2 linked regions of the Arabidopsis thaliana genome follow. The protein of the gene in region 1 purifies or fractionates together with the protein of each later gene. This does not show direct contact. Each region holds a gene or a part of one and is shown in the gene's direction. Other genes may lie near its edges.

The links.
Region 2: the proteins of ALB4 (region 1) and PTAC4 purify together in Arabidopsis thaliana (affinity purification with western blotting, with the first as the bait; one study listed by BioGRID). This does not show direct contact.

What each region holds. Positions count from the first base shown.
Region 1 is NC_003070.9:8,680,460-8,685,919, forward strand, and holds ALB4 (OxaA/YidC-like membrane insertion protein), read left to right. Parts: upstream 1-1,735; 5' UTR 1,736-1,904; coding exon 1,905-2,231; intron 2,232-2,313; coding exon 2,314-2,424; intron 2,425-2,506; coding exon 2,507-2,581; intron 2,582-2,824; coding exon 2,825-2,885; intron 2,886-2,970; coding exon 2,971-3,044; intron 3,045-3,133; coding exon 3,134-3,238; intron 3,239-3,427; coding exon 3,428-3,535; intron 3,536-3,710; coding exon 3,711-3,814; intron 3,815-3,893; coding exon 3,894-4,124; intron 4,125-4,203; coding exon 4,204-4,507; 3' UTR 4,508-4,812; downstream 4,813-5,460. Other genes in the region: AT1G24485 (ER protein carbohydrate-binding protein), read left to right, coding at 1-5, 545-604, 867-1,020, 1,141-1,435; AT1G24510 (TCP-1/cpn60 chaperonin family protein), read right to left, coding at 5,045-5,215, 5,298-5,411. UniProt on the Arabidopsis thaliana protein: Required for the insertion of some light harvesting chlorophyll-binding proteins (LHCP) into the chloroplast thylakoid membrane. Plays a role in the accumulation of some cytochrome b6f components in the thylakoid membrane.
Region 2 is NC_003070.9:24,234,223-24,241,321, forward strand, and holds PTAC4 (plastid transcriptionally active 4), read left to right. Parts: upstream 1-1,865; 5' UTR 1,866-2,106; coding exon 2,107-2,245; exon of another isoform or gene 2,246-2,400; intron 2,401-2,617; coding exon 2,618-2,727; intron 2,728-2,823; coding exon 2,824-2,934; intron 2,935-3,067; coding exon 3,068-3,132; intron 3,133-3,217; coding exon 3,218-3,299; intron 3,300-4,057; coding exon 4,058-4,132; intron 4,133-4,557; coding exon 4,558-4,628; intron 4,629-4,748; coding exon 4,749-4,831; intron 4,832-5,402; coding exon 5,403-5,467; intron 5,468-5,701; coding exon 5,702-5,776; intron 5,777-6,089; coding exon 6,090-6,206; 3' UTR 6,207-6,506; downstream 6,507-7,099. Other genes in the region: AT1G65250 (Protein kinase superfamily protein), read left to right, coding at 210-1,328. UniProt on the Arabidopsis thaliana protein: Required for plastid vesicle formation and thylakoid membrane biogenesis, but not for functional assembly of thylakoid protein complexes.

The sequences.
Region 1 (5,460 bases):
ATCCGGTAATTATTCTTTTCATTATCTTATATATATGTTGTAAAATACGGTTAATTTTAATAATTTTGGTTTGAGATAAATAATGAATAGAAGAGGCTACTAATTCTGACAATAATAAGAAAACGGTTTGTTTTGTAGAAAAGATATCAATCTATATATTAATATATAAATCTATATATATAAGTAACTCTACTCTAGTGGTTCTTTAAAATATATGGATACTGAATTGAAAGGGAGGAACTCGTGTGGGTATATTAATTAGGATGCAAGATTTAGCTTCTAGTTATTGACGATCAACTGCCTTTTATCAACATGCAAGATCATAACTAGGCTTAAAGGTTAGAAGAATGGGAAGTGTTTAACCAAAAACTTTCATTGTAAAACATAGCCGACTAGGAGGCGGTTTAGTCCGACTTTGAGCCGTCATTTTTCTAGATAGATTGGTCAAAAACATGCTCTCCAAATTACTAGCTCCGTAAGAAAATTGACTTAAACTGAAAACTAAAATTATAAGTCACTTTTCTTCGTTTGAACGATATTTTAGGAGGAAGCAATAATGGAGATGGAGGAACCAACAAAGCTAGTGAAGATGAAAAATCTGCAGGCATATCAGTTCTCAATATTTTTTTTAATTAAGATGTTTTTTTCCATATTAGGACTTTTAGAAGAATAGTCACTTAATATAGTTTGGGACAATTTCTAGAGATTATTTTCAAAGTTTTTGTCGTATAACAATATCATTTATATATAAAAAAAAAACATTTATGAAGCTTTGGATGTTAATAATCATGTTATTATTGTTATCAAATGATATGAGATCGTTGGTTCGAGTCTAATATGTGGTACGTTTGTGTTTGTGTATGAAGATTCTTCAGGTAAATCAGGAGAGGAGAAAAGCAGCAGCAACTTAGCTTTACCTCTTGGAATTTCATTACCGACTTTGTTAAGTCTTGGAGCTGGTGGTTGGGGCGTCTGGAAATATTTCATCAAACCTAGGCGCCACCCGGAATCAGAATGTTCGTATTCTCCTTTTATTTTTATTTTTATAAACTTATTGCAATAAATCTTATTAATTTGAATTTCTACTATAATTTTTATTTGAATTAACTAATGTATATAAATATTTATTTATGGTTGCAGTGCCACTCAAACAGAATATAAGTTTACAAGTGAATATGGGAAACGCAACAGTAGTGAATGCTGGGCAATGACGACGACTTACATCTACTACATGCGGATCCATCATCACTCATCACCCTCCAATATATGTTATTCTTTTTTTCTCCTGATTTATTGGTTGTTAGATGTAATTTATACTATTTCAGTCTTTTCATCGTATGTTTCACATATTTTTATACTTAAACAAAAATCACTAACAATCATGAAATGTTTATCTCTATGGTTTTCTCCACCAAAGTTCGGGTATAGATATTAGTGTTACTTTTCGTTGTAGAATTTAATTGGTTATAGTTGTTAACGAGTGATTTATAGGTTGTGAATGGTGACTAAAACCGTATCCAAAACCGTATCGTAACAGTGTTGTAACAATATCAAAATTTTTACATATATATATGTATTTATGTATTTTTGTTATTATTTGAACCGCACTGCACTTTTCCCGCATCGCAAAACACAGTCACCATTCGGAGCCATAGTTTATGTTGTTATATTTACCCTAGAAAAAGTCAATAAAAAAGGTGAGATATATAGTTTGTGTTGTTAGTTTTAAAAAATCAGAAAAACAAAATTTGGTTTGCTCCACTTCTCAGTTCGGTCGGTCTCGCACACTGAGACGCAAAGCAAGAACACAACAACACAACAATACTGCCAACAAAATCCAAATCTTCCCCATTTTGTCTTCTCAACCAAAACCCTAAAACTCTCCTTCCTTCTTCTCCCTAGAGATGTCTTCAACAATATCCCTAAAGCCGACGCACCTTATCCTCTCCTCTTTCTCCACAGGCAAAGTCCTCCAATTCCGCCGCTCCCGTTTCAGCCACACACCGTCGTCGTCGTCGTCTCGTTATCGGACTCTCGTAGCTCAACTCGGGTTCAGACCAGATTCTTTTGATTTCATCAAGGACCATGCCGAGAATCTGCTGTACACGATCGCTGATGCCGCCGTTTCGTCCTCTGAAACCTTTGAATCTGTCGCCGGCACTACTACCAAAACGACCCAGAGCAATGATTGGTTCTCTGGTATTGCTAATTACATGGAAACTATTCTCAAGGTATTAAAAGTTTTGTCTTTTTTGGTTTAGAAAGAAATGAATTTTTGTGTAGCTATATGATTGATTTTGAATTGGATTGCAGGTTTTGAAAGATGGGTTATCAACTGTACATGTTCCTTATTCCTATGGTTTCGCTATCATTCTATTGACTGTGCTTGTTAAGGCTGCTACGTTCCCATTGACGAAAAAACAGGTTTTTAGTTTGTTTCTATTGCTGCTAAGCCATGATATCATTTTTAGTCCATGTTATTGAATTGGTGGTTTATTCTCTACAGGTTGAATCTGCCATGGCTATGAAATCTTTGACGCCTCAAATAAAGGCTATTCAGGAACGGTATGCTGGTGATCAGGTGAAAAACAATTCTTCTATACTGTACACATGGGTTTTATTTGTCCTGATGCTATACTAAGTTATGTTTGCATCAATTCTTAGTTGATGGAGTTAAGGAAAAAGTAAGAACATGTGTGTTGCTATTGGTTCCACAATTGTGGAGGGATACTAATGAATATAACAAATATTATAGCTTTACTATGTATGAATATAGCCCTCTTGTTTAAACAAATAGCTTCTTTATTTTTGTTTATCTTTGCAGGAGAAAATTCAGCTTGAAACTGCTAGATTGTATAAGCTTGCTGGAATAAATCCCCTTGCAGGTACAGTATGTTACTTCAGCTTATCGTATGTTTTTCCATTTGAGACAACATTTATGGTTAAGCTATATTTTCATTTATCTGTTAGGCTGCCTCCCCACACTAGCCACGATACCTGTCTGGATTGGGCTATATAGAGCCCTCTCAAATGTTGCAGATGAGGTACCTGGAAATAACTATATCCTTTTGTATCTGTAAGTGCCTTGAGATTCTTTTTTGACAAGTAGTTGGATGCTTGTTTCTAACTTTAGGGGCTCTTAACGGAAGGTTTTTTCTGGATACCTTCTCTTGCTGGTCCAACGACTGTTGCTGCAAGACAGAATGGCAGTGGAATCTCATGGCTGTTCCCTTTCATTGTAAGTATCATTTGAAACTTGATATTTCGAAAATGGAATCTAGACTAGACTCATAGTTCTTACGAACTCTTATTCAGTTTAATTGTTCAAGCATATAAAACTGATTAAAATGAATTATTGAAGAAAACTTGAGGGGAGTGGTGTCGGACCTCATCGCTGATGTCTACAAATTTCCATTTTATTTCTCAGGAGGGACACCCACCTCTCGGATGGCCAGACACATTAGCATATCTTGTCTTACCTCTATTGCTCGTCTTCTCTCAATACCTCTCCATTCAAATTATGCAGTCCTCGCAGGTATAGCATCATGTGGAATATGTGATAATAGTCTATTAGTAGTTACGTCTATGTTGAAAATGTGTACCACATTGGTGCCTGTGCTGAAAGCTCATTCCATTAAAGTATAATTCAATCAACAACGAAATCCTTCTATGCAACAGAGAAATTTATGTTTCTTATCATTTTTTGTCAGAGTAATGATCCAGCCATGAAGAGCTCACAAGCAGTGACTAAGCTTCTTCCACTGATGATTGGCTATTTTGCATTATCAGTTCCTTCTGGTTTAAGTCTTTATTGGTGAGTCTAATTTTCTGTGGTTTTCGTGAGTGGTCAGCTTCCACTCGCTATTCTTCTCAGTTTTAAAGTGTTTTTGCAGGCTGACCAACAACATTTTGAGCACGGCACAGCAAGTATGGCTTCAAAAATATGGTGGTGCTAAGAATCCAGTGGAGAAATTCACTAATTTGGTCACTAAGGAAGATAAAACACAACAAATTGAGAAGTCTTTTTCAGAACCACTAGTTCAGAAGTCTGTTTCAGAACTGAAAATACCAAGAGAGAAGGGTGGTGAAAAGGTGACCCCAGAATGCCCCAAACCTGGTGAAAGGTAACCAAATCTTCTAAAATGTGTCATCATTCGTTCCTAGAAGCTGTTTTTTTGTACTAACACGTCCATGTGATCCCAGGTTTAGGCTGCTGAAAGAGCAAGAAGCAAAGAGACGTCGAGAAAAAGAAGAGAGGCAGAAAGCTGAAGCAGCTCTATCTAATCAAAATACAGACAAAGCACATGAACAAGATGAAAAATCTGATACAGCCATTGTCGCTGAAGATGATAAAAAAACAGAACTTTCTGCTGTGGATGAAACATCCGATGGCACAGTAGCTGTGAATGGGAAGCCATCCATTCAAAAGGACGAGACTACGAATGGGACATTCGGCATTGGCCATGATACAGAACAACAGCATTCTCATGAAACAGAGAAGAGGTAAAGACTCATGTTTTCATGTCTTAAGGCGAAGCCAAACAAACAAAGAGGAATTGAGATTTGAATAAGACGAGGAGAAATCTTGGTACTCAGGCCTTGTAGTCCCTCTGCAACAGATTTCGAAGTTTATAGATCTTAAGAGTGGGAAACATTAGTCTTCAGGGTTTAGATTTTGTGTACAAAGACCATAGCAGATGGGTATTTGAAGCCTTCGAAGCTTGGTTTCATATTTCTTATGTTCTTATGTACAAGCAAACAATTACTTTTGTCCTCGTTCACTGGTGTTACACTAATACGATAATAGTTTAGTCTACAGTATGAGACCTGCATCAGTTACTAAATCGAAAAGAAAATGCAAACGAGTGCTTCGATCTGTGGACAAGTACACACAAAAATTAAGATCTGACGATGTTCTTAAATAGAAGGTTGCAAAACAAAGGGAACAAGTCAAGGATAACGATGTCGAAGGGTATCAAAAGCTAATAGAAAGCAAACAAAAAACACCGAAGAAGCCAAAGGTTAGGACAAAGGTAGCAACAAATCAGTATTCAGAATTGGAGATGACATCGTCGATCTTTAGAATCATCTTAACGACTTGCGTAGCTAGCAAAATTTGTTGCTGTTTCCCGATCAATGTTTCAAACACATTTTGCTCCCTCATATCGTTTGTTCCCACGTCATTGCAATCTATTCCATAGAAGGGAATATTCTCCTGTTCATCAAAACCCAATGTTTGTTCAGTCACCGAACAAGCAAGTCAATGATATAGATAATAAAGTTCGTCGTTTACTAACCTTAATTTGCTGAGATTTAACCGCAGAGAGTGTCTCAATGGGCTGTAATCCACTGTTCTCTGCAAGAGCCATAGGGACAGAGTCCAAAGCTTCTGCAAACGCCCTAATTGCATACTGTAAATGAGGAAGTATTTATACATGATTAGTATTCAGAGTTACAATT
Region 2 (7,099 bases), about 16 Mb from region 1:
GATGACATCAGCAGACCCAAATTTCCTAAAAGTCCTTGCAACTCTAATAAATTCCTATTTTCTGATTTTCGTTGAAGAACGTAATGTTGAAAATTCAACAAGAATTGAGTACATTGTACTCGTTTGCAACTCATTGTGTGAGGTCTCGAATCCTTTGCTCATTTTGATTTCAAATAAAGCTTTCTTTCCCTTAATTCTTAGATTTTGAGATGGGTTGGCTGAGGAAGAAGAAGAAGCCAAAATCCGATATAGCGTCCGAGAGAGGGGCCAAGTTGTTAGAAGAGCTCATCGAATGTTGCGATGGCAAATCCAATCCCATCAAATTCTTCTCTGCTGATGAGATCCTCAAAGCCACCAACGATTTCAGCGACTCTAATTTTGTTTTACGATTAGAAGTTCCCTTCAAATGGTATTCTGGTAAGAACGAGAATCATCCCATGATACTAATCAAGAAAGATGTTGGCTGGTGGAGTGGCTTGAGAGTAGATCGTTTGTGCCGCGACATAGCAGTTTCATCGATGGTGAGTGGTCACAAAAACTTCATGAAGTTGGTTGGATGTTGTCTTGAGTTAGATTATCCAGTCATGGTGTATCATAGTGTTAAGAAACATTACAAATTAGAAATAAGTGAACAGCCATGGAAAAAGAGAATGAAGATAGCAGAAGATATCGCTACTGCTTTAGCTTACCTTCACACCGCCTTCCCTAGGCCCTTTGTATATAGGATTTTGTCTCATTGGAATATCTTATTGGATGAAGATGGTGTCGCCAAGCTGACTGATTTCTCTCACTGCGTCTCAATCCCAGAAGGAGAAACATTTGTCCGGGTTGACAGAGACGTGGGATTATATAGTTACTTTGCTGATAATTACGTTAGGAGTGGCCTAGTCTCAGATAAAACAGATGTCTTTGCCTTTGGAATCTTTATGGGTCATAGGCTTCTATTAGGATACGAATACTATTTCGAGCATTATCGAGGAGAAGAAGAAGAAAGTGAAGATGGATTTGACAGTCTGATGAAAAGACATGCTCGGAATTTGCTCTCAACATTAAAGGAAGACAGACCAATGGAAGAGATTGCAGATTCAAAGATGATAGAAAAGATGGGTCAAATTTCAGAACAAGAGCGTTGTCAAATGAAAGCTTTCTTGAAGCTATCACTGAGATGCACCGGCCCTAGTGAAGAAGTTCCAACGATGGTGGAAGTGGCCAAAGAACTAAACAAGATTCAAAGATCTCTTTTTAACGACTCTTCTTCTCTTTCTTCAGGTCAAACCCAACTCGACTCTGCCCAAGACATTTCTTCCACAGTGGTCCTCTCAAATTAGACACTGCTACCAAGTATTGCCTGCCAGGTATTTCATGAAATGTTTCAATGGGTTATGTTGAGCTGGTTTCGTTTTTTCAGGAAAAAAATCGAACAATGTGCTGAAAATAACTTCGATTCTTGTTTGTATTAAAACATTATCAAGTTTCATTTTTGTTGTTGTATTTATAAATAGTGCTACGTTACTTTTGATTCATTATATTGTCCCTTAGAGTCTGTGTATGTGTGTTTGGATTTTGATGGATGCGTCTGTGTTTGTTAATTCAAGAGATATCTACTCGTGTATTATAAGGGAAAGTCTCCCAAGTCAATAACAATTCTAAAGTTTACATTGTGAGTTGGGAAACATGGTTCATTGACGTAAGTTTGCAAATTCCAGCAACTACATATGAACAATGCAATCAATATTGAACTGTGAACTCCATGATTGTTTGGTGGATTTGGACATTCACATCTATACTAAAGTGAAACATTCATGACGGTAAACTTCTCTTGGAGCTGTATCTTGCATATTAAGAATCAAAGAATATCAGTGAATTATGATCTTCATTGTCAGCTTTGTCTTTTCAAGAGTTCTGATCTTCAGCTTTGAGTAATTTCCGTTTTCAATTCCAATAAAATATGTTTTATGAAAAAATCAATGTTATTCATCGACCAAAACGACGTAGGATAGAGAAAGAAAAATGGGAACAACATCCGAGTAGCCTCCGAGACCACAAACATCCTCCAATAAGCCAAAAGAAGACGAGAGAAGGAGAAGAGTCGAAATCGCCATTGAAATGGCTCTCAAAGCTTCACCTGTTACCGGATTATTCCCTCCTCTCCGTCCTACTGCTTCTTCTTCCCCTTCGACTTCTTCTAATCGCCCTTGTTCCCTCAGGATTCTCCCTCTCAGAACATCTTTCTTCGGTAACTCAAGTGCGTCTCCTTCTTCTCTACTTCGCTTTAGGGTTTGGCTTTATCTTCATTTCACTAGCTTGCGCCTTGTTTGGATTGCTTGGAGGAAAATAGTGCAGCTATTTGCTCAAATTGGGTAACGTGATTAGTCAGAGAGAGAATTGAAGTAAAATTGGGTATTGATTGTGCTTTTTAGTGTATGATTTGTCGATTTTGTGTTTCTTGATTTAGTATAAATGAGGTTACTCTTAGTCAGTGTCTATAACTTCAGTATGCTTTGACTGTTTCACATGTCTAACATTTAGTTCTCTTGCTTTTTAGTTATGTTGTTGGTTTGATGTTTCCATGAACTTATTGTTAGACTCAATAAAGATTATTGTTTATTTTTACAAGGTGGAGCGCTGAGAGTGAATGTGTTGAGATTAGCTTGTGATAATAGACTCAGGTGCAATGGTCATGGTGCTACTATGAATCTTTTTGAACGATTTTCTAGAGTGGTCAAGGTACTTATACCCTTTCTCATTCTGTATTTGACTGTCATTATGCATTGGAGTTCATTAATCAGTTCTCTTGTTTATTTTTCATTTTAATAAGCGAAGTCATATGCAAATGCGCTCATAAGCTCTTTTGAAGACCCGGAGAAAATCCTGGAGCAAACTGTCATTGAAATGAATAGTGATTTGACAAAGATGCGTCAAGCCACTGCACAGGTGCACTTCTTACTCTTGAACAAACTTTATACATTTTCCTGTACGATATTTTTCTTCTTCATTTTTTTACTACAGCATGGTTGGCCCCTATTTATGAGATTAGCTAACTTGTGTATTATCAACGTGTCTGAAGGTTTTAGCATCACAAAAGCAGTTACAGAACAAATATAAAGCTGCACAGCAGTCTTCTGATGATTGGTATGTGTGCTTTTGCGTGGACCTTGCTTCCATACCTAAATTCTTCTCTGAGCTGATTATTCTTACATGTTACACGTTTAAATAGGTACAAAAGAGCACAACTTGCTCTTGCAAAAGGAGATGAGGATCTTGCACGTGAGGCCCTTAAACGACGAAAGTCTTTTGCTGTAGGTTATATCTATCCATTCTTTTGTCCACCAGTTTTCTGTTTCTTAAGTTTGCTTACTCCAACAAATGAAAGACCCTAATCGTTTAGCGCATCGAGCGATTTGAGGCTGATCTCTTGGTTTTCTGCAAGGTTTAGTTAGGTGGTGGTGAAAGTAAAATGGAAAAATTTAGATATCTAAGTATTCTGTAATTCTCCTCAGGACTTGCCCCCTTTTCCAATCATTTTTTGATGCAATAGAGCTTGGCAGTGTTTATAGTACTCTTTTGAAATATATTGTTTGTTGAGTTTGTTAAGGTGATTGCAGTGACAAAAGATATTTTGGATATATATAACACTACAGATGCAGCCAAAAACGACCCTTCTGTGTTTCTACATATTAGGATGTTGACTATTGTCTTTCAGTATCAGAAAAAAAAATCAAAATCAAATTTTGGTTCTATGTAGAATTTCGGAAACAGCCAAACACGATTCTTCAGTGTTTTTTACATATCAGTATCTTGGCTATCATCTTTGATGTGCTTTTGTTTGAGCAACAGACCGTATGGCTCTTTTTCAGTTTTGTTGATTTATGTATTTGTGTAACCTTTGCAAATGGCTAACGAATAATAGGCAGGTAAATTTTCACTATCTTTTACCTGCTGATACCTTATCGACTACTGAAGTCTCTTGAATACATCCATTCTCTAACTTTATAAAGTTACCTTAAAAAAAAACTAGAACTTTAGGTTTTGAAGTTATTACCTTTTTTCTTAACAGGACAACGCTACTGCTTTGAAAACTCAACTAGATCAGCAAAAAGGTGTTGTCGACAATCTTGTTTCAAATACAAGGGTTAGTTTTCACCATATTTATCTATATATTTTGTATTTTGATTTACTATACACTGTTGGAATCTTTAGAGCTATGATTAAATGAATTTATCGTCATGCATTTACTCAATAAAACAAAGAATCATGTATACATTAATTTTCGTCATGCCACCATACAATTTGAATGGTTTAGAGATAGTACCATAGTTAAATACCTCCGTCATAAGATTCATATGCCAAGTATCTCTCTTCACGTTTTGTACTAAGGAGCTATTGTATCTCTATGGACATAATGTAGAAGATATTTTAGATTAGTATCTGTATTTTCAGAGTTCTTCCATTTCCATAGCATATGATTCTTATATTTTCTGAAATTGCTTAGGGCGAAGTTTGGTTCTTAGAAAATGAGTTCTGTAATTTTTTTGTTGTTTCCCCTTTTATTTGCAGCTCTTGGAGAGTAAGATACAAGAGGCAAAAGCAAAGAAAGATACGCTCCTTGCACGTGCTCGCACTGCTAAGTTTGTATCATTTCCCTAATACTCTTCTTTATATCATTTATGGAAGCTCGTCCATACAGAGTGTTTCTTGTCGATTTATATATTGTCCCAACTCTATTTGTTTTTTTTAATTCCTGCTAGGACTGCAACCAAAGTGCAAGAGATGATAGGGACAGTAAATACAAGCGGTGCTCTTTCAGCTTTTGAGAAAATGGAGGAGAAAGGTATGATCTCTTGATCCTCCAACTTGTCTATACGCAACCAATACCAGTTAGTCCTATTATTCCTTTCTAAATTTGAAGTTTGGCCTGTAGTTAGGATTAGCATTCAGTCTTTGAAAGTGAGTTTAGATTCCACTACTTTCTCTATGTTAGCTTGTACTACTTGCCACCTAGGCGACAGGGTTACATTAGAAATAGTGCTCAGATTCTGGGCAACGTGGATGTGGAATTAGTGTTGTAGTTACCTCATGCAAAACAATAGAACAGTAATATAATGTGTGCAATGGGACATCGGAGTAAAGGATAAACTTAGCGGAATCCTTGCTTGTTTAGATACAAGAGAGAAATGCCACTGGATAACCTTTTTTCTTATTGCTATTTCTAGCAATTCGTTTAGGTTCTGGTTGATCAATGTTAGTCCGTGCAGATATACCCTCTTATTCTTTCTGTAAATCTCTGAGTTGCTAGTATCAGAATTCCGAACGTGTAATTTTTCGTTGTGAAAGACTTCACATTCTGCTTGTTGATGAATGCTCAGTCTGATAGAGACTAAAATCTAGAAAGTGCTTGACAGTTATGGCTATGGAGTCTGAAGCAGATGCACTAACTCAGATTGGAACCGATGAACTCGAGGGGAAGGTTGGTTGTCTATCTCTTGTCTTGGTATTTCTATGAGGAGAAGAATCTTTCTTTCTCTTTTAAATTTGTTTCAGAGGTAAAATCTTGCATTGATTAGGGTTCGCTGCTTTATCTAATATCTTCTACGACTGATAGGATGGTCTAATCTGGTTTACTGTTTGTTTGTTGGTAGGAGAAGAACTTGTATATCTGCAACCATCTTGACATTAACGTGTATTTCTTTGTGACTTGCAGTTTCAAATGCTTGAAACTTCATCTGTGGATGATGATCTTGCAGACTTGAAGAAAGAATTGTCTGGAAGCTCAAAGGTTTGTAAAACGTCAATCATCTTGTTAGTTCCGTAGAGTTTATAATCTCATCATTCGCGAAAATATTGTATCCACAAGCTACCATATGTCCATATTGCAAATTACCGTCCGAAGAGACTAATGGGTTCAGCAATTTGGGATGGTTCACTAAAATCAACAATTCAAACTACTCAAATTACTTCTATGTTTACCTTACTGTCTTGTTTCATGTTTGACGATAGCCTACTTTGCTACTAACATTTTACTTCACTGAGTTAAGAGTCTGTGAAACATACATCTTATAGTTATCCTCTGTTTATATGATATGGAGCAGAAAGGAGAGCTTCCTCCAGGGAGAAGCACTGTTGCAGCAAGCACGAGATACCCTTTCAAAGACTCAGAGATCGAGAATGAGTTAAACGAACTGCGAAGGAAAGCTAACGACTTTTAGATATCGGCTGTTTCCGAATTGTGACTGGGTTACATTACGTTCCTGCTGTAAACTATCTTGTGTCTTGTAGAAAGACACAAAAAGCATGTGTACTCTTAAAGTAAATATCCAGCTATCTAATCCCCATTTATAGTTGGGTTATGTACATTCAGACACTTTTGAAAGTGTGGTTTCCATTTTGACTCACTTTGTGTCAAGTGGACACGTTTTTTTATAAGCTGTTTTACTCGCATAACCCTCTATCAGCCTCTAAGGCATAAAAGAAAGAGATTCGTCGATTTAAGATAGAAATGCTCGTCTTCCATGTTGACTTGTCTTTCCAGTAAAACATGTTGCCATATTTTCCTAGATTCCTAGCCAATCGTCTTCAGAAACTACAAGGTATGTCTATGTCTAATCAACTGTACCCTCCTCATTGGATACTTAAAGAGCTTAATAATGAGGGTTTGAAATGTTACCAAAAGTTGGTTTAGCCACAAACACAATTCTGCAAGAACTCCTTGATACTGCTAGTCCTGTTTCAACTTTCAAGCAAATATATATCTGTTTATATGATGTGGAGCAATCCTCTTTTTCCGCTAACAGTAATGTTACCAAAAGCATGCTTTCAAATCATATGAACTGGGTGTCTCAGGATAATGTGGATAAAGATCCCTTAGAGATATTACTCTTAACGAAAAAGAGGCACAATTGTGGCAAGTAGGCCATATTGAGTTTAGTTTGGAAACTAGTTGTTTTTTAAATTCGGAAACTCGAACTCGAGTGAGAGATATTTCACAAAATGATTCTTATTTAGGATATCACCCTTTTTTGGACGGGTCTTGGAAAGATAGTGATAAATTCTCAGGAATATGGTGGTTCAATACGTCATCAGATGGAGTTACACCAACCAT